Linked DNA regions of Mus musculus. The protein of the gene in region 1 purifies or fractionates together with the protein of each later gene. This does not show direct contact. Links are inferred from orthologs where the notes say so. Each region holds a gene or a part of one and is shown on either strand. Other genes may lie near its edges.

Region 1 (6,330 bases):
TGTGTTCATGTATGCTTGTGTTCTTCTTCCCCACCCCTCCCTAGGTGTATATATAACAGTTTTCACGCTGGAGTGGATCACCCAGGTAATGGGAGACTTAAGTTCAACATTAATGACCCTACATTTGCTTCTTGCTTTGCAACTAGGTATGGAGCTGCGGAAGTAGCTCAGTGATGAAGCATGCGCAGAGTGATCAAAGCTCCGGACTCTATTCTAAACCTTACACACTCATAAAGATGGATCTGAAGTGGTACTCGAGGTCTCGATCTCCAGGCTTTGGACAGGTTTCAGGCATCTCGGAAACCATAAGTAGACATGAGTAAAAGCCTGGGCCGTCTCTCTCCTGGGGCCTAGAATTCATAGTCTCTGTCAGTCTCACAGACTATCTGTGACCCAGGAGAGGTTGAGAGTCATTGATTCTTCTCGCCAGAAATTAATAACGATATCTATCTTTAGGGAAATAGACTGATGGAGGAAGAAGGTGAAGATTTTTATTAAAAAAATTTCAACCTAGCTGGGCAGTGGTGGCACACGTCTTTAATCCCAGCACTTGGGCAGCAAGAGGCAGGTGTGTATCTCTAAGAGTTTGAAGCCAGACTGGTCTTCAAACTGAGTTTCAGGTCAGCCAAAGCTACACAGAGAAACCCTGTCTCGAGAAACAAACAGACATGGCTGGAGAGATGGCTCCGTAGTTAAGAGCACTGCTCTTCCAGAGGTCCTAAGTTCAGTTCCCAGTTACCATATTGTGGCTCACAACCATCTGTAGTGGGCATCTGACGCCCTCTTCTGGTGTGTCTGAAGTATATAGCTACAGTGTACTCATATAAATAAACAAATCTTTAAAAACAGAAAAATCTGCAGCCTTCCACAGGTGTGGGAGGAATGTTTTCAATCTCAGCTCACTCAGGAGATAGAGGCTGGAAAAAAATCTCTGAGATCCTAAGATCCTGTCTCAAGAAAACAGGATACTAGTAAGAAAACAAAAACCTGAAGTTTCCTGAACTGTGTATATTAGCTGTGTTTTAAAATATACCATTGGGGGATTATCTTTGTGGAGAGGTAACAGCCCCTTGTAGATTTTAGATTTTTATCTTTATCTCTCTTTGTGCTAATCACCAGCAATACAAACACCAATAGGTGTACTTGTAAGTCCCTACCATCACATATACATACAAATCACTGCAGTACGCAGAGTTCATTCTCTATGACAGAAAGCCAAGCATATACACGTACCATGAACTGCTGATTCCAACTCAGTAAAATCTGTACTCCCAACATACAAGACGTGAAATAGGTCAGATAATTTCAAGAGCGTCAAGACCCCCCCCAAAAGACTAAATGGATGTTACTCCTAACTCCTGCCACTCTAGTTAAGCAGTAGTGGGAAAGTGTGGAAGAACTGGTTTGTCTCAATTGGACATTTAAGTTTAATGGTGAAAGACTAGTTAATGTTAACAATGAATCCTAAAATCATCAGAATATTTTATGGGCTTTCTCTCTGTGTGTGTTAGCTTCAGTTCTTAAAATTAAGTGCCTAATTAAAAGTGATTTAATTTTGTCTGCACGTTTTTCTGCACAAGGTGTGTGTCTTTGCTGCGGGCAGAGGCCTGAGGAGGGCTTCAGATCCCCCCCCCCCCCCCAGACCCCAGAGTGGAGTTACAAATGGCTAAGAGCCATCTTGTGGGATGCTGGAACTTGAACTTGAATTTTTACCAGGATCAGCCTGGCAGTCCCCTTAACTTAGGCATCCCTCTAGCTCCTAAAATAAGTACCTTTTAATGGAAACAAGTTGGTCAAAACTATCTTTCAGAATTTCAAGACCCAGTATAACAGTTTAAAAAAAAAAGAACTCAGACACACGTGGAAATGGCAAGTACTGTGTATTCGTGTCAGCTGTCATGCATAGGCTCTCTGCATTTCTGTGAGCTGACCAATCAGCCTTGCTGTTGAGATTCAGGTTTGAAATGGTGGAACAGAGAACCGGGTTATAGCCACTATTCTCCCCCACGCAATCTAGTAATTACTCTATTTCCACGTCATATTTCCGGGTGTATGCCCATAATCACGCAGAACTGAAGTTCAGAGCAGCCAGGAGTTGCCCATGTTCTTTTTTGATGTCTCCACAAACCCAAATGCTTAAGTGGGGTGACACCTGGGGACCGCCTAAGTGGCTGATTCCCACGTGGTAAGGAGCTCACAAACTCGCCCCCACGTGGTGCCAAGGGCCGGGAAAAGGGAGAGCGGGCAGAAGCGAGCCGTATCAGGGCATTTAAAGTGTCTTGACGTCACGCACTGCCAGGAACTCAGCTGAGTTTTCAGCAGGACATTCCGCTAATGTCTCCTCCCTCCCCCCGGGCTTTTTTGTAAGCTAGGCCTCTGCGCGTCCCTTGGTCGCGGAGGGAGGAGCACAAAGCTCTCAGAACAGCCAACTCAGGGAGGTGTGCCCAGAGCTCTCGACCCCGCCTTCTCTCCTAGAGGCGTTTTTCATTGGTTAGTGGGCGGGGCTTAGGAAGTACAGCGCTCGCCCGGAGGCCTCAGGGTGGCCTAGCCAGCTGGCCATTCCTTAATTATGCATGGAGGCGTGTCTTGGCCAGTGGCGGCTGGGTGGGGATTGGCTGGAGGGGCTGTAATTCAGCGGTTTCCGGAGCTGCAGTGTAGACAGGGAGGGGGAACCTGGGGTTCCGACGTCGCGGCGGAGGGAACGAGCCCTAACCGGATCGCTGAGGTACAACCCCGCTCGGTGTCGCCTGACCGCGTCGGCTAGGAGAGGCCAGGCGGCCCTCGGGAGCCCAGCAGCTCGCGCCTGGAGTCAGCGCAGGCCGGCCAGTCGGGCCTCAGCCCCGGAGACAGGTGAAGGGGGTGCAGGGTGGGGCCACCTCCCCGACGGCACGGGGGACGGCATGGGGGACCCCACGGTTCGTCAGCTGTGGGGGTGCTTAGAGCTGTGAATGGACACTTACATGGGGCAGGAGGATAGGAGGAGACACACAGGGTCGTCCCGGCGGCACTGACGTCCGGATGACAGGAACCAGCCTGGGAAAGGAAGGGACGCTGTAAGTTTCGAGGGGGAGATGCGGAGAGAGAGTGGGGAGTTCTGGGGGGTGTAGGACCGTGGGGGGGAGGACATTCTAGGCTGAGGGTAACAGAACTGACAGAAGCGGCCCTCCTGTGACTGCTCCCGGAGGCTAGGGACGTTCGGGCCACCAGAGCCACTGCCACTCAGGTGGAGATCATTGGGGTGGAGGCGTTAGAAGGAGCCTCCTTCCTGCCCCTGTGCTGGGCCTGGCCGTTCCTTGCCTAGCCACTTTCTTTGCCTTGCTCCCGTTCCTTCTGTAGTCAGCTGTACCCACTTAGGAGGTGGGAACTGTTGTGTCTCTCCTCCTGCCTCTCCGCCCCTCCCCCTCCCCCTCCCCCCCCCCCCCCAGCCTCTGGGACTGGCTAGATTTTTTTCTTAAGAATCAGATTTCCTATAGAAAATTGACAAACTTGTATCCTTTCTAAATTCTCTCCCATCTCTTTCTGTGTTAAGCTATGATTTCCCCCACCTTGTTAAGAACACTTTTTTTTTTCCCAATTCAAAATAAATCCCTGGCCAAACCAGCTCTAAAGAGCAACAAACCTCTTTCCTCTTTGACATTGTTCTCTCATAAACACCTGGTAAACTCGACGAGACGATAAATAATTGAGCCATTGCATTTACTGGATCGTGGTGTTGCTTAATTGCACAGGCCAGGGTGAGCCAATCAAGAGTGGGAGTTTTCTGTCTCATAGCCAAGCTCTTGTGTAAAAGCAGAAGCTAGGGAAACAAAGACAGGCTGGCCTTGGCTGAGTTCTGTGTGTAAACTTTACCTGTTGGGGGGTGTGTGGCTATAAATTGGTAAGTTGGCAAAATCCAGACTGTTGCTCAAGTCACTTTTTTCATACCTGGTCCACATCCCTCGGTTGTATCAATTGATGTGTGTATGGGTACTGTCAGTGCTTATTCAGTTTCCTTATTCAGAGTGTGTGTAGTTTATACCTGCTGTTTACTACAGTGCTTATTTGTGTATGCATTGTGAATGTTGGGCTGTCAGTGTAGGTGCAGCATGGACGTGAATATATTAAAGCAATAAATCACTTCTATCTTCTTTTTAATGTGGAATTAGACTGTTAGGATTTGAGCCAGCCATTTTTTCTCTTTTTATATTAAATAATGTCTATGTTCCTTGAGGAAACATGTTTGTTTCATTATTGCATGTGCCGGACCAGAACACTAAGCGGGATCTTTTAATTTTTTTTTAGTTTTAGACTTTATTTATCTTTGTTCTATGTGTATGAGTGTTTTGCCTGCATGCACGTCTGTGCCAGTGTGTGCCCAGTGCCCTAGGTGGCCAGAAGAGGACATCAGAGCTTCTGGAACTAGTGACAGATGGTTGTGATCCACCACCTGGGTCCTGGGAATCAAACCTAGGGCTTTTGGGGAGAACCACTGGGAAGAGAATCTGGAATAATAATAATGAAAATGTTGGAGTGTTTGTTCTTAGTGTTAGCACACTCCCCACAAAGAACCATTAGCAGATTCATGAATCTTTTATTTTCATCTGTAGTTCATCGGGACAAATAACCACTTAGAGATAATCCTCAGTTATGAGGCTCTCGATAGGGGCTGAGAGATAGCTAGGTGGCTCACTGAATGCTAACCTCATTTTGTAGATAAGGAAATTGAGGCCAATAGGCCTAGACACTTGCCTTAAGGCATCGTGAGTTACAATGGTTTAACGTCTGCCTTTTACATATTTCTTGGTCCATGCTTAAGTATTCAGTTTCAATTTAGAGTGAGTATGTTCCCTGTTGAGAAGTATCAGAGAAAATCTGAATAATGAAACATTGGCAGCTGAAAGCCAAAGTAACTGTTCTGTGTCTCACCCTCTCTCCTCCCTCTCCCCCCTCTCTCCTTTCCCCTCCCCCTTCCCCCTCTCTCCCTCTCCTGTTAGCATAATTTACTGTCAAACTTCAGCTATTTTTTTAATGGAGATGTTTAGGCAAATTTTAGCTAAAGGGCGGCTGTGACCTCAATGACATTTCAGCCGGAGAGCCTTGTGGTCAGTGGTCGTTTCTGTCTGTAGAAAGTTCCTTTTTCTTTTGTCTTGACATCCAAATGTGAGAAGGGCGCGGAGGTAGTGAGCACCTTCCTTGATGCCCAAGCCCAGAAGCCTTTTAGCTGATGTTTTCTAAGAGATGGTGATGGTGTACAGCTCAGAGAATACTTAACCTCTCTGACATTGTGAAAAGTGCTAGGGAGAGTGACATCTTGTGTGTAGATTTGCAGGCTGTTGGAGCAACTTGATAAATGCTTTATTGTCTAATACAACACGTTGATGTCATTAAGGAGAGCAAGGCATTATTACTTACACCTGTGCCTTCTGTCCCTCCCTGCTCTCTTCTTTCCCTCAGTTTCCCTCCCTTTTACTCTCCTTTTCTCCCTTTCTGGGGACGAAACCTAGGTTGCTAACAAGCACTCTACCACGGAACACATTTTATGTCATTCGGATTTTAAAGTTCTAGCCAAATAAAAAAACCAAAAAACTCATCTAAAGAGTGCTTGAAGGATAGCCCTAAATCTTGAAGGACTCCTGGTGCTGTGGACCGGCCTCAGTGAGATGGTGGAGGATGGCATTGGCTTGCTGTCTTTGATGGTGAAAAGAATGTTTGGCTTGCTCTGGTGCAGATAGTTGGGATTACCAGATTGTATTTGGTGGCAAATTCTTGGAAATAATTTGTTTAAAGGAGTAACATTTGGAAGAATGAATTTCTACTATGGTTCTCATTTTTTTATGTTATGTTTGCTATAACTTTATTCAGCTAACATACACACACACATACACACACACACACACACACACACACACGCATGCACACATGCTAGACGGATGAATGGTGCTGGCGGCACATGCCCTTAATTCCAGCACTTGGAAGGCAGCAGCAGTGGATCTCTAAGAATTAAGGGCCAGCTGGTCTACAAATTGAGTTCCAGGCCAGCTAAGACCCTGGCTTAAGATGAACAGGAACAAAACACTAAGCAGAAGCTGGCCATGGATGTTTCATGTCTGCAGTTTTAGCATGTGGCTAGCCAAGAACTGAGGCCAAAAAAAAAAAAAAAAAAAAAAAAAAGTGAGTTTGAAGCTAGCCTGGGTTACCTAGTGAATTCCAAGTCTGCTTTGAGTAGCTAATAAGACCCTGTCTCAAAAAAGGCTAGGCAGGTCTGCTGGTATATGCTTGCAATTCAAGGATTTGGGAGACACTGGCTGGAGGCCCACTACCAATTTAAGGCCAGGTATTCTGCGTAGCTAG
Region 2 (6,013 bases), on another chromosome or scaffold:
CTCCTCCTCCTGCAGATGGGCTAAGTCCTCCCACAGCAGAGTGTATACAACCCATACTGGAAATGCCTTAGCAACCATCACAGCCACAGCTACCACACCAGAGAGGCCAGTTCAGGGACCCAAGTTCAGAGGAAGAACTGGAAATTGGAAGCGCGGTGTGAAGTCTCTGGTTTTTACACATTAGGAATGAATTCACTTTAAAGGGACAGCTGGGGTCTGGTAGCACAGGCCTGTGATTCCAGCTGCTCTGGAGGTTGAAGTAGGAGGATCAAGGCCAGCCTGGGCAACTTGTCAACACCCTGTCTCAAAAGAATAAAAAAGAGGGCTGGGGTGTAGCTTGCTGGCAGAGCTGTGGCCAGTGTGGGCAAGGCCAGGGTCTCCCGACTACAGCACTGTCACAAGAAAAGAAAAGAAGAGAAGAGAAGAGAAGAGAAGAGAAGAGAAGAGAAGAGAAGAGAAGAGAAGAGAAGAGAAGAGAAGAGAAGAGGAAAGAAAAGAGGCACACCAGGCACACCAAGCACACCGCAGTAGTGCTGAGCTAACCCATTCTTGGTTGGTCTGGCCACACCAGAGACCTTTGCAGCCCAGGTTCCTCCAAACATGAGGTTGGGACAGGAAGCAGGGAAGGAACTGGGTCTGGATAGGGCTGTGCCAGCTGCTCGGGCCTGGTGGGGCCTCAGAGCCCTGAGGGAGGGCTGGCAGCCACAGCGAGGTGACAGGCATGGCCTATTGAGCAAAGAACCTGGGGAGAACAACGATCCTCTGGCCTCCCCGTGGGACAGCTGGGTCAGCCGTGGGTGGGTGAGCCTGGCAGGGAGGCTGCCATGGGGCCAGCTAGCCCAATCTGGAGGCCAGAGCGCCAAGCTCTGTGATGAGGTGGAGTCTGGTCTCCAGGGCCTGAGTCACCCCTTGAGTCCCCGTGTGACCCAAGTCACCTTTCTCTAGACTCAAGTTTACTGTTAGAGCTGATTATAACCCCAAGGCTTGGGAGACTTTCTCCACCGCCATTGCTTCAGTGTGACGACCCTGAGCTGACTCTTAGATCTCCTGAGCCCCGGTCTCCTAACCTGTGATCGCAAACAGTATGGCTCACCTCCCACAAATTATCAGGGGGATCAAACGAGTATAAAATATGGCTCAGAGACAGCAGAGGGCCGGCTAAGGTCACACAGCAGATGCTCGCGGTACTGAATAACCCTCCCCAGGTCTTGCTGTGTCTCCCCAGAACCCTGAAATGTTGGCAGGAAGCTAAGGCACAGAGCCAGTTTGCCCCAAGGCCACACCCAGCCAAAACAACGAGAGTAAAGAGAGAAGTTGGGCCATGGAGATGGCTCAGTGGTTTAAGGTAGTTACTACCAAGCCTGAAGACCTGAGTTCAATACCCAGGACCCATCTGCCAGGAGAGACCTGTGACAGTCAGCGAACCCCAAGTTCTGACCTTCACATGCAAGTTGTGGTGCACAGTAGATAGATAGATAGACAGACAGACAGACAGACAGATAGATAGACAGATCCCTCCCTGGAGGGGCTGACATGGGGGTGGGCAGCAGGGACAGAAGGATGACAGGCCAGGTGAGATGGGCTTTCAGGTCAGGAGTGTTGGGGGCCAGGGACCCAGGACTGGGCTCCTGGAGCAGGGTTGAGGGAACAGATAGTGTGCTCACTCTCTGCCTTCCTGGAGCCCAGTCTGAGGGGAAACTGAGGGAAAGAATACGTGCGTGCATGGCGACCTACAGGCAGGGAAGAATAGTCACCAGTGTTGGAGAAGGGAGGGCCCGTTAGTGAAGCCCCAACGTCCCACTTTACAGCCAGGCCTGGCTGGGTGGCCCTGGGGATGTCACCACGCCTCTCTGGGCCCTGATCCCTTCCTGGCCCAGAGGCTGCTGGGAAGGCCAGAAAGCCGCAGGCAGGCAGGGCTAGCGTCTTACCCTTTCCCTCCCTGCCCCCCACCCCCAAGGGCACAGGGAGATGTCATTTCTCCAGCTCTTGGGGGCGGAGGTCACCCCAGCTCAGCAGATAACACCGAAGGTTGAGCAACACCCCGCCAGCTTGCCGGGGCCAGGGCTGGGGTCAATGGGTCGGGGGTCAGCCCCTGACAGGTTGGCAGCTCCTGCTTGAGTGGCCCACCTAGGAGTGGCAGAAGGGTGGGCCCCAAGAGTTGCCCTGGGCGTCCTCAAAAGGGTCTCACCGGAGAGAGGCTGGTGATCCCAGCCCATTCAAGTGCACGGGGTGGAGGGGTTGCCTCCCCAGCTTGCAGGGTGACCGCTGGGTCCTTATGGCTGGAGTGGGGTCTACCATGCTCCCACCGCAATCACCTGAGAAGCCTCTGGGCAGGGCTGTGCAGGTCTTAGGAAGGCATCGTACTTCTCGGGGGTCCGTTTGTCTCTGATGACACCACTACTAACAATACCAACACTGTCCACGGAGGGAACTCAGAAGCAAAGTGACTCACCCAGACACAGTGTGGCAGAACCCCCAGCCCTGCCACCTTCATGGAGAGGCGCAGGGAGTGGCGTAGGCAGGTGCGGTAGGCGGGCCATACATAGGGTGGAGGGCTGGGATCCAGGACAGCGAGCATCCCCGGGGTGGGCGTGCACCTGGAGAGTTCTGCTTCCCAGGAGTTGGGGGGGGGGTCCCAGAGGTGTGGGCAGCACCTGGGTGGGAGGACATGCACCCCGTGGAAGGCTGCTTCCAGGGAATTGGGGCCCGGGGACAGCGGGCAGGATCCGAGGGTTGGGGTCGTGTAGCTGGAGGAACGATCTGTTTCCCAAGAGTTGGGGGTCCGGGACAGCGGACCGGAGCCGGGACGAGCCACCGCGTCCTCCAGCAGGGGGCGGGCGGCGGCCGCGCTCCTCCGTGTTCCCGAGGGGCGGGAAGGGGGCGGGCTGGCGTCACCCGCGTCCGTGGCCATCGCGGGGCTGGCGGGACGCCCGGGTCACCGCTCAGCCTCCCGCGCGAGGACCCCCGCCGCGCCCCACTCCCCGCCGCGCCCTCTCGCGCTCCCGTGGCCGGGCAATGACGCGCACCGACCGGGTGGCGGGGCGGCGGGAGGGGCCCCAGCGTGACGCAGCCCGTTGCCAGGCGCCGCCTTATAAACCTCCCGCTCGGCCGCCGCCGCGCCGAGTCCGAGCCGCGCACGGGACCGGGACGCAGCGGAGCCCGCGGGCCCCGCGTTCATGCACCGCCTGCTGGCCTGGGACGCAGCATGCCTCCCGCCGCCGCCCGCCGCCTTTAGACCCATGGAAGTGGCCAACTTCTACTACGAGCCCGACTGCCTGGCCTACGGGGCCAAGGCGGCCCGCGCCGCGCCGCGCGCCCCCGCCGCCGAGCCGGCCATTGGCGAGCACGAGCGCGCCATCGACTTCAGCCCCTACCTGGAGCCGCTCGCGCCCGCCGCGGACTTCGCCGCGCCCGCGCCCGCGCACCACGACTTCCTCTCCGACCTCTTCGCCGACGACTACGGCGCCAAGCCGAGCAAGAAGCCGGCCGACTACGGTTACGTGAGCCTCGGCCGCGCGGGCGCCAAGGCCGCGCCGCCCGCCTGCTTCCCGCCGCCGCCTCCCGCCGCGCTCAAGGCGGAGCCGGGCTTCGAACCCGCGGACTGCAAGCGCGCGGACGACGCGCCCGCCATGGCGGCCGGTTTCCCGTTCGCCCTGCGCGCCTACCTGGGCTACCAGGCGACGCCGAGCGGCAGCAGCGGCAGCCTGTCCACGTCGTCGTCGTCCAGCCCGCCCGGCACGCCGAGCCCCGCCGACGCCAAGGCCGCGCCCGCCGCCTGCTTCGCGGGGCCGCCGGCCGCGCCCGCCAAGGCCAAGGCCAAGAAGACGGTGGACAAGCTGAGCGACGAGTACAAGATGCGGCGCGAGCGCAACAACATCGCGGTGCGCAAGAGCCGCGACAAGGCCAAGATGCGCAACCTGGAGACGCAGCACAAGGTGCTGGAGCTGACGGCGGAGAACGAGCGGCTGCAGAAGAAGGTGGAGCAGCTGTCGCGAGAGCTCAGCACCCTGCGGAACTTGTTCAAGCAGCTGCCCGAGCCGCTGCTGGCCTCGGCGGGCCACTGCTAGCGCGGCGCGGGTGGCGTGGGGGGCGCCGCGGCCACCCTGGGCACCGTGCGCCCTGCCCCGCGCGCTCCGGCCCCGCGCGCGCGCCCGGACCACCGTGCGTGCCCTGCGCGCACCTGCACCTGCACCGAGGGGACACCGCGGGCACACCGCGGGCACCGCGCGCACGCACCTGCACAGCGCACCGGGTTTCGGGACTTGATGCAATCCGGATCAAACGTGGCTGAGCGCGTGTGGACACGGGACTGACGCAACACACGTGTAACTGTCAGCCGGGCCCTGAGTAATCACTTAAAGATGTTCCTGCGGGGTTGTTGATGTTTTTGGTTTTGTTTTTGTTTTTTGTTTTGTTTTGTTTTTTTTTTTGGTCTTATTATTTTTTTTGTATTATATAAAAAAGTTCTATTTCTATGAGAAAAGAGGCGTATGTATATTTTGAGAACCTTTTCCGTTTCGAGCATTAAAGTGAAGACATTTTAATAAACTTTTTTGGAGAATGTTTAAAAGCCTTTTGGGGGCAGTAGTTGGCTTTTGAAAAAAAATTTTTTTTCTTCCCTCCCGACTTTGGATTTATGCGAGATTTTGTTTTTGTGTTTCTGGTGTGTAGGGGGCTGCGGGTTATTTTTGGGTTGTGTGTGGCGGTGGGTGGGGGTGTCGCATCTGGGCTTTTCTCTTCCCATGGCAGATGGGGTGTCAGCCCCTCCCCCCAGGAGAGGGGGCAGAGTGCCAGGTCAGGAATTCAGGGTGACTCAGCACCCACGGGTGCTGGGGGACTTGCTAGAAACCCTGCTTGGGACGGGCCGCCCTCGGCTTGGTTTGAGTGTCAGACTTGTGTTGAGAGGACTAGACATTCTGTAGGAAAGGCTAGTCCAGACAGCTGGGTCAGGGCAGGTGAGTTCTGTGTGTTTGGTGGTGTGGGGGAGACCGCACGCCTGTTTGGTGTCTGTGTCCCTGTGTAGCTGGAAGAGAGATTGGGCCGAGAGGAAGGTGAAGGGAACACTTCCTACTCTGCTTTCCCTTTCTCACTATTTTTTCTGCCCAGAGGGGACTAGGAGCCTCTCTTACTGCGCTCAGAGTGGCTGAGCCAGGACTTGAACGCAGGGCCAACACTCAGATTTGCCGGGGCAGCTCTGCTGCAGCCGGGCCGCATTAGTGAGAGTTGAGGGTGTCCAAGGAGTAGTGGATGTGCTGTGTCCCGCCGTGCCTGGCACGCCAGAACTGTTACATAAGCGTTTGTTCTTGTTATTATTTTTGATGGGAGGCTCCTGGCATTTGACTGTGTGAGTGTGGAGGCCAGCGTTCTGCAAGCCCTGGGCCTGCCTGCCTGCATCTCCTTCGTGCCTCGTGGAAGGTAGGCACTACTGTGCCTTTTGCTTTATGGATTTGGATAGCTTGTGGCTCTCAGGTCCCGATGAGCACCCTGCTGTGAGGGATTCTGGGTAACGGGTAACAGAGCAGTTTGCCAAAGGCCTAAGGGAGCCTGGGATTTTTAGGGGTGACCAGCGACTCTGGTTGGTGAATAGGGAATCTGTTTTCTTCCCTTACTCTTTGGGAACTTGGAGTGTTAAGCCTGGTGACCTGTCTCCCACTGTCACAGGGTGAGGCTCTCTCCGCCTGCTCAATGCTAAGGTGGTTCGTAGCCTGTACAGACCCTCAGACACTTGGCTTCCATTCAGCTTCCTTCTAGGCCTAGACAGATGGACAGACACTTGACCCGGTGGGCCCGGGAGCCAAGGTCAGTGAAACCTCATGGTCCAGTGTCTTGGTGGCTTCTGTCTACACCAAGTGACTGTTGGTCAGTTCCACTGCTCCAAGACTTAGAAGCCAAGCCTAGGCTGGACCTGGGAGATGAGGGAGGCTCAATCTTTCCAAGGATTCGAAGCATTAATGTACCTCTGCAGCCAGACTGGCCGGCATCCATTTCTCAGCATAAGTAACTTGGAAGTCAC
Region 3 (6,330 bases), on another chromosome or scaffold:
GGGTAAAAGGGGGAGTTTATTGACCAAGGAACTAGGAACCCAGTCACTGAGTCCCATGGGTCCACTTCATCTGCTGTCACCTTTTAGAGGTCTTTTCTAAACCTTTGTATTAAACTGGTGTCCCTCTCCTGGGTTCTGACAAAAATTATTCAGTCCTATTTTATTTCACTCATATTTTTTTATTCTTTGAGAGTATCATACAGTGTGTTTTGATCCTATTCACCCGGTCCTCAATTCATCCCAGAGCCACCTCTCTTTTCCATGCACCCAACTTTGAGCCGCCTCCCTCTTATTAACATATCAAGTACAGTTTGTATTATCTATATACTCTTAGATAGGTGGCCTATCACAGGAGCACGGTCGACCTACTCGTCAGCCCTATTTTAATAATCTCTAGATTATACTGATTTCCTCAATAAACTGAGCAACTACTACGTGCCAGGCACTACTCTAAGCAGTTCTTTTCATAAGAGGTTTTTACTTAACATTTATCCGCTGCCAAAGGGAAAGACTCTTTACCTACCGGCAGGGGGCAGAGTTTCCCATTAACCTTAACAAAGAGGTTAGGGGGGAAATAGTCCTCCTGAGGGCAGCTGGTCTCACAGAGACAGAATCTGGCGAGAAAGGACAGATGAGTGGGGTAAGTGGCAGTTTTCTGAGGTGAATCTAGCACTAAAGAAAACTCCAGAAAAAAAGGAAAAAAGAAAATCAGTCATAGTTATTTGTAGCCATCAGCATCCAGAAAAGTCTCGGGCCAGAGTGGACTGGGGCTGGGGAGGAGGAGGATGCCCCCCCCCCTTGTCCAGCACCCGCCCTTAATAAGACGCAATTCACCTGAGCTGCACTTGTATGGTGTAATCACACTTGGCTCCTGGCAGAACCTCCCTGCAACAAAGAAGAGCGATGTCAGTTCAGAGGGTGAGCAGAAGCTGTCCAGGGCACAGAGAGGAGACAGGCAAAAGAACGAGACAACACAGGACAGAGAGGACAGTCCCCAGGGACAAGGCAGAGGATGAGAGATGTACCTGGACGTGAGAATCTGCTGCAGCTGCTGGGGAGTGAGCGCGAAGGTGAAGTGGGCTTCCTCGAACCTCTGGCTGGAGGTGGACGCTGCGAACACAAAGACACAGTTAATCCCAAGCCCGCGCCTGAGAAGCTTCCGGCTTCCATCCCGTAGTGCCGATCCTACAAGGGTAAAACCTAAGAGGAAACACTCCAGCCTGAGCCAGAATCCAGAAAGCCTGAGGGAGCATAGTCAGCCATACCAAGGGTGGTGGGTCGGATGAGCTCCCCATAGACTTCATAGAAGGGCAGTGGCTTCATGGTGACATCGGGGTGCACAGGCTGCGGCAGAGGAGGATGCATGTCCACCTCACGCTTAGGGCCTAGCAAGGTGCCAGGGGTCAGAAGGGTGGGAGGGATGGGAGCAAGGGGGCCGGGGGAGCCTACAGGAGAGGTGCCAGGGGGCAAAGAAAGCAAGGAGAGATCAGAAGGCCCCAGGGTCTTCCGGGGAAAGCGCCTGCGATAAAGTTCTTTGATCTTCATCTGGACGCTGGGGGCGCAGCTAGACTTGAGGAGGTGCAGGGCCTTGGCCAGCAGCTCGTGTTTCCGCCCACTCTTGTTCCTGCCAGCGAAGCCGAGGAGCACCTGGAGCTCAGACACTCGGAAACTCATCACCATGTGCTGCGGGGAAGAGCACAGAAACGATCCGGCTTCAAAAGGGCCTGTCCTGCTGGTGACATGGAAGCTGAGCTACTGGGCGGCAGTGCCGCTCCTCTCGGTCCCCAGTGTTGAAAAGTGCTCTAAAGCTAGTGTACCACCTCTGAGTACCTCTGACCTGACAAGCTGAACCCACAAGCACCACCTAGCCCCCATCCCTACCCCTAATCCAGAGATTCCCTTAAGCTGATTATTGTCTCTCAGGGCTCAGACTCTCAGAGCCCTAGCCTCCTGGGAAAAAGATAGGACACAAGGAAGGAGAGGATTCAGGGCAGACAGCCCATGAGAGAGTGGCCAGGTGACAAGAGGATTGTATCCCACGGCCACCTCCCTATCACCTGATCCATCCTGTTCTCCCCGTGCTTCTGAATTGAAACTTTTTAAAGTCAGGGCTTTAAGCCAGAGTTCAACACTCCATCATCATCATCATCACCACCATCATCATCATCATCCACACCTTTTCATTGCCTACATGCCCATACTCCTTTAGTCTTGTTTACTAGAAGATAGCTACCAAAATGTGTAGGGGAGAAGTCCCCAAGTCTCAGTAATTGGCCAGACTTACTCCATCTGTCAGTGATCGCTAATTTCTCTGCCAGTGAAATGAGCCAATTCAAGCCAAATTAGATTAGATTAAAGGTAAATTTGCCGGGCGTGGTGGCGCACGCCTTTAATCCCAGCACTCGGAAGGCAGAGGTAGGCGGATTTCTGGGTTCCAGGCTAGCCTGGTCTACAAAGTGAGTTCCAGGACAGCCAAGGCTACACAGAGAAACCCTGTCTCGAAAAAAACAAAAAAACAAAAAAAAACAAAAACAAAAAAAAAGTTAAGTTTATTAGGAAGCTGTCCTAAGGGAATCGCCATAGGGTGGAGGAAAGGGGGGGGGAACGCACAAAATGTCTGGATTATATAGGGAAGAACCTTGGGGGAAGGGCAGCCCAGCCCCTGGGCTGGAAAGTTTAGGGTTGAGGCCTTAGAATGCCAGGTAGGGACTGAGGGATGCTGGGAGAACCTGGAGGCCAGGGCTGCTTTGAGATGTAAAATATGCACCTCAGCCCCCTTGTCCTGGGGTCTGAAACCAAACAGTCCAGAACTACCATCTTCCTTCTTTCTCTCATACATGGTATATTCATAGATAGCCACCAGGGTGGGAACCAAGGCAAACTTCTCAACAGAGACCCCAAGAGAATGAGAATGGGGTCTGTGAACCAAAGCACAGAAGTCAGCTCTTAAACGTGGATGGCCCAATGGCTAGAACTCAGGCTTACTCGGGACAAGGATGGGGCGAAGCCAGAAGATGGGGGAATGAAGGTCTAAGGTTCTGTAGGATATCTTCTGGTGTGGTTCCTTGGAGACTGTGTTGTGGTGGGGCAAGATCTCTCTCCTTCTAGGGCTCCCTTCTGTGAATGTCTAGAAGACCTAGTCACGGGTGGACCATTAGCTCTCCCAAGTTCTTTTCCTCCTGGTCTCCTTTTCAGGAATGTGATGAAAACCTTGTCCTTCTCTCTACCTTTCCATCCTTGGCTCCTCCTACTTGTTTTTATTTCTCCACTGGCTCAATAACTTTTTTTCTATCCAGTGGTTCACACTTCTCTACCTCTCCAACCACAGGACCTCATTAGGACAGTTCCTTACTCTAAGCCTCCAGGATGCTCCTGCCTCATCTCTTAAGGTACGCTCCTGTACAGCCCCGCCCCCTTACGTCTCAGCCCCCCTATCGGTACTGCCCAAGGCTCGGATGCCCACAGCAGCCCCAAGCCTAAGCTTCAGGTCCCCGGGAGCTTGATAACATCTGGTCCTCGGGTCCCATCCCTACGGCTCCCCCTCACTGTCACACCTCTTGGCCTGATGGACTCACCCCTACGCCTCTAGAGGAGCTTTCCCTCGCCCGCCTGTACCCTGCAACTACCTACTACTAAAAGCGGCTACGGCCCCGCGTCCCCGCCCCTTGTGCCTCGGCCCTCCGGGGCGACAATTCCCCCCTCCGCCCCACCCCTGCATCTGCCCTGCGGCCCCGCCCCCGGGGCGCCACCGCAGCCCCTTTTCGCGGCCGCTGCCCGCGCATCCCTGTAGCCAGTCCCTGCCACGTCGCCCGCACCCACCCCATCCCGCTGCGCCCAGCCTGGTCGCCTCCCCGCCTCAGCGGGCAGCCGAGCGAGTCCTGCTGGGGCTGGGGGAGGGGGCCGGTACCTTTAACTCGCCCAGCTCCGCCATCTTGAGACATCGCAGGCGCCCCAGCCCGAGCCGGAGCTCAGGCCCAGGGACCGGCGCAAACTCTCCGCCCCAGCGCCGGCCGCAAAGGCCGCCTGCTCCGCCCCGTCCGGCCCCCTACACCTCCCCTTCCCGGCCCCGCCCGCCGGGCTCCGGACCGCCGCCGGCCTCGCCCCTTCTCCTGCAGCCGGATGGCCGGGGCAAGTCTCCCGGCGGCGGGAGACACGGTGGCCCCGCAGGGAGTGTGCAGCCCGGGGATCTCGGGGCCCTGCGGGTAACGACGAGAAGGCGGACCCGAAGGGATGGGCTTTTAGGCAGCCAAGGATACTTGAAAGATGGAGGGAAAGTATCCGGAACTGCCGGAGCTCCGAGGGATGGGGGAGGGGCGGCGAAGTTGGAGCCCCTGTCCCCCGGAGATCTCCGCCGCAAGTTTAGTTAGCGAAATCCCAGAGTCCCGCCAACTCTGAAAGTGATGCTCTCCTGTCCTTTTTGGGGGAAGTTGGGGACTTGCGAACTGTTGGAGACGGCTGTTCCGAATTCTTCACCTCCCCCGAACACAGCAATTACAAGCTTAGGTCCTGCTAGCGCCATACGACTCAAGGCTTGACAGGCAACAAAGTTGGGTGCGGAAAGCAGGACTTACCCGCAGAGTTGCGGGGGTGAGCCCCGGTGCAGAAAGGGCTCGCGCAGCTCCGGCAGTCTGCTGCACGGCTGGAGTTCAGTCGGGCAGCTGGACGCTGCAGCCGCAGCACCGCCCGGGCCTGAGCTCCGCCCGGCCAAGCGTTGCTGCTGGGGCCGCCCCCTCCAGGGTAAGCCCGCCAGGACCTCGGAGAGGGGAGAGGGGCGGAGCCCAGGAGCCGGGCGGGAGTTATTAACTCCTCTGAGCGCTGAGGAGAGAAGAGATTCTGGGCATTCAAAGTTTGAGTAGTCCTTTGATCCCTTGCGGGAGGGAGTGTAGAGCCTGGACTGGGCTGGACTGGGACTATGTGCATTGGGACTCTGGTTGTTTAGAAAGGTTATAGGATGAGATCTCCATCTATCTGGGGGAAAACCTGGGCTACAAATGGAAAATAAGCAGCCCAATCCCTACAGATAACCCTCTATCTCCCAACCTCCAAATATGCTTTCAGTAACTAGGGATCCCACAGTTGGTGAACACAAGGAGATACAGGTACAGAAGACACACTTCTGCCCCTCTTTAAAGTGCCTACTTCCTCCTCCAAAGCTTTGGACCCTCCAAAGGGCCCTGTTTCAACCAAGTTGGTCACTTAACCTGACGATTTGAGTAGTTCATTTCTTTGTTTGTTTGTTTGTTTGTTTGTTTTTCGAGACAGGGTTTCTCTGTGTAGCCCTGGCTGTCCTGGAACTCACTCTGTAGACCAGGCTGGTCTCGAACTCAGAAATCCACCTATCTCTGCCTCCCGAGTGCTGGGATTAAAGGCATGAGCCACCACTGCCTGGCTGAGTAGTTCATTTCTATATCTATAAAGATAGCTACTTTAAGGCACTGTTCCTTATACTAGTTATCGTAAAAACTCCACATTTTATAGTTGTTTGGGGCCTCAGGGATAATGTCATTTGTCCAGTAAATATTTGTAAAGGGGGGAGGTAAATATTAAAGTGGCAATCAGGGATTGCTAGGTGCTGAGGGCTTAAAACCATTCGAAAGCTCAGTCTGGCATCAGAGGCAAGTTGTACAACAAACATGCAAAATAATAAAAAGCTCTAGTAAATACTAGGAATAATCTCATTTAGTTTAAGCCTTCAGTGTAATCCTTTCCATGAGCCCCAACCTAAGCTGCAGGCCATAAAGTGCTAACAATATTTCTAGTGCCTGTTAATTATACTTGACTACTTCCTGGTTTTGTTCCTAGGGAAATAACCACCCTCTCCTAACACTGGGGATTGGGGAAGGGAGTTGTTGCTTGCTGTTTGAAATGATGGGCCCCTCAAGCTAAATTTAGGCTTAAGTACTTGGCCCTAAATCTCATCTGCAGCTCCCCGCATGCTAATCAGGCCCTGGTACTTGTCTGTTCTGGGGATAGAACCTCAGACTTTGTGCACTGGGATGTTGGCACAGCCAGCTGAGCTCATTGCCAACCATATTGTTTTGTTTCTTCTTACACTTGATATTGTTTTTGCCCCAGACATTTTTGTGACTCCAGACCAGTAAATGGGCATATCAAGATAAGTATATGGGGGCTGGAGAGATGGCTTGGTGGTTAAGAGCACCGAGCTCTTTCAGAGGTCCTGAGTTCAAGTCCCAGCAACCACATTGTGTGACTGGTGACTCACAACTATCTGTACTGGGATCTGATTCCCTTCTCTGGCTCGCAGGTTTAGATGCAGATAGAGCATTCATATACATAAAATAAATAAATCTTTTAAAAAATAAGCATATA

Evidence for each region.
Region 2: the proteins of Stat3 (region 1) and Cebpb purify together in Homo sapiens (affinity purification with western blotting; 3 studies listed by BioGRID, with this or other methods). This does not show direct contact. The link is inferred for Mus musculus from reciprocal best matches to the Homo sapiens genes STAT3 and CEBPB.
Region 3: the proteins of Stat3 (region 1) and Pias3 purify together in Homo sapiens (affinity purification with western blotting; 5 studies listed by BioGRID). This does not show direct contact. The link is inferred for Mus musculus from reciprocal best matches to the Homo sapiens genes STAT3 and PIAS3.

Annotation. Positions count from the first base shown.
Region 1 is NC_000077.6:100,935,776-100,942,105, reverse strand, and holds the start of Stat3 (signal transducer and activator of transcription 3), read left to right. Parts: upstream 1-2,565; 5' UTR 2,566-2,850; exon of another isoform or gene 2,851-3,033; intron 3,034-3,619; exon of another isoform or gene 3,620-3,768; intron 3,769-6,330. UniProt on the Homo sapiens protein: Signal transducer and transcription activator that mediates cellular responses to interleukins, KITLG/SCF, LEP and other growth factors. Once activated, recruits coactivators, such as NCOA1 or MED1, to the promoter region of the target gene.
Region 2 is NC_000068.7:167,685,846-167,691,858, forward strand, and holds Cebpb (CCAAT/enhancer-binding protein beta), read left to right. Parts: upstream 1-3,069; 5' UTR 3,070-3,176; coding exon 3,177-4,067; 3' UTR 4,068-4,587; downstream 4,588-6,013. UniProt on the Homo sapiens protein: Important transcription factor regulating the expression of genes involved in immune and inflammatory responses. Also plays a significant role in adipogenesis, as well as in the gluconeogenic pathway, liver regeneration, and hematopoiesis.
Region 3 is NC_000069.6:96,694,773-96,701,102, reverse strand, and holds the start of Pias3 (E3 SUMO-protein ligase PIAS3), read right to left. Parts: upstream 4,028-6,330; 5' UTR 3,932-4,027; coding exon 3,908-3,931; intron 3,767-3,907; exon of another isoform or gene 2,986-3,766; intron 1,684-2,985; coding exon 1,266-1,683; intron 1,111-1,265; coding exon 1,026-1,110; intron 886-1,025; coding exon 835-885; intron 615-834; coding exon 524-614; intron 1-523. UniProt on the Homo sapiens protein: Functions as an E3-type small ubiquitin-like modifier (SUMO) ligase, stabilizing the interaction between UBE2I and the substrate, and as a SUMO-tethering factor.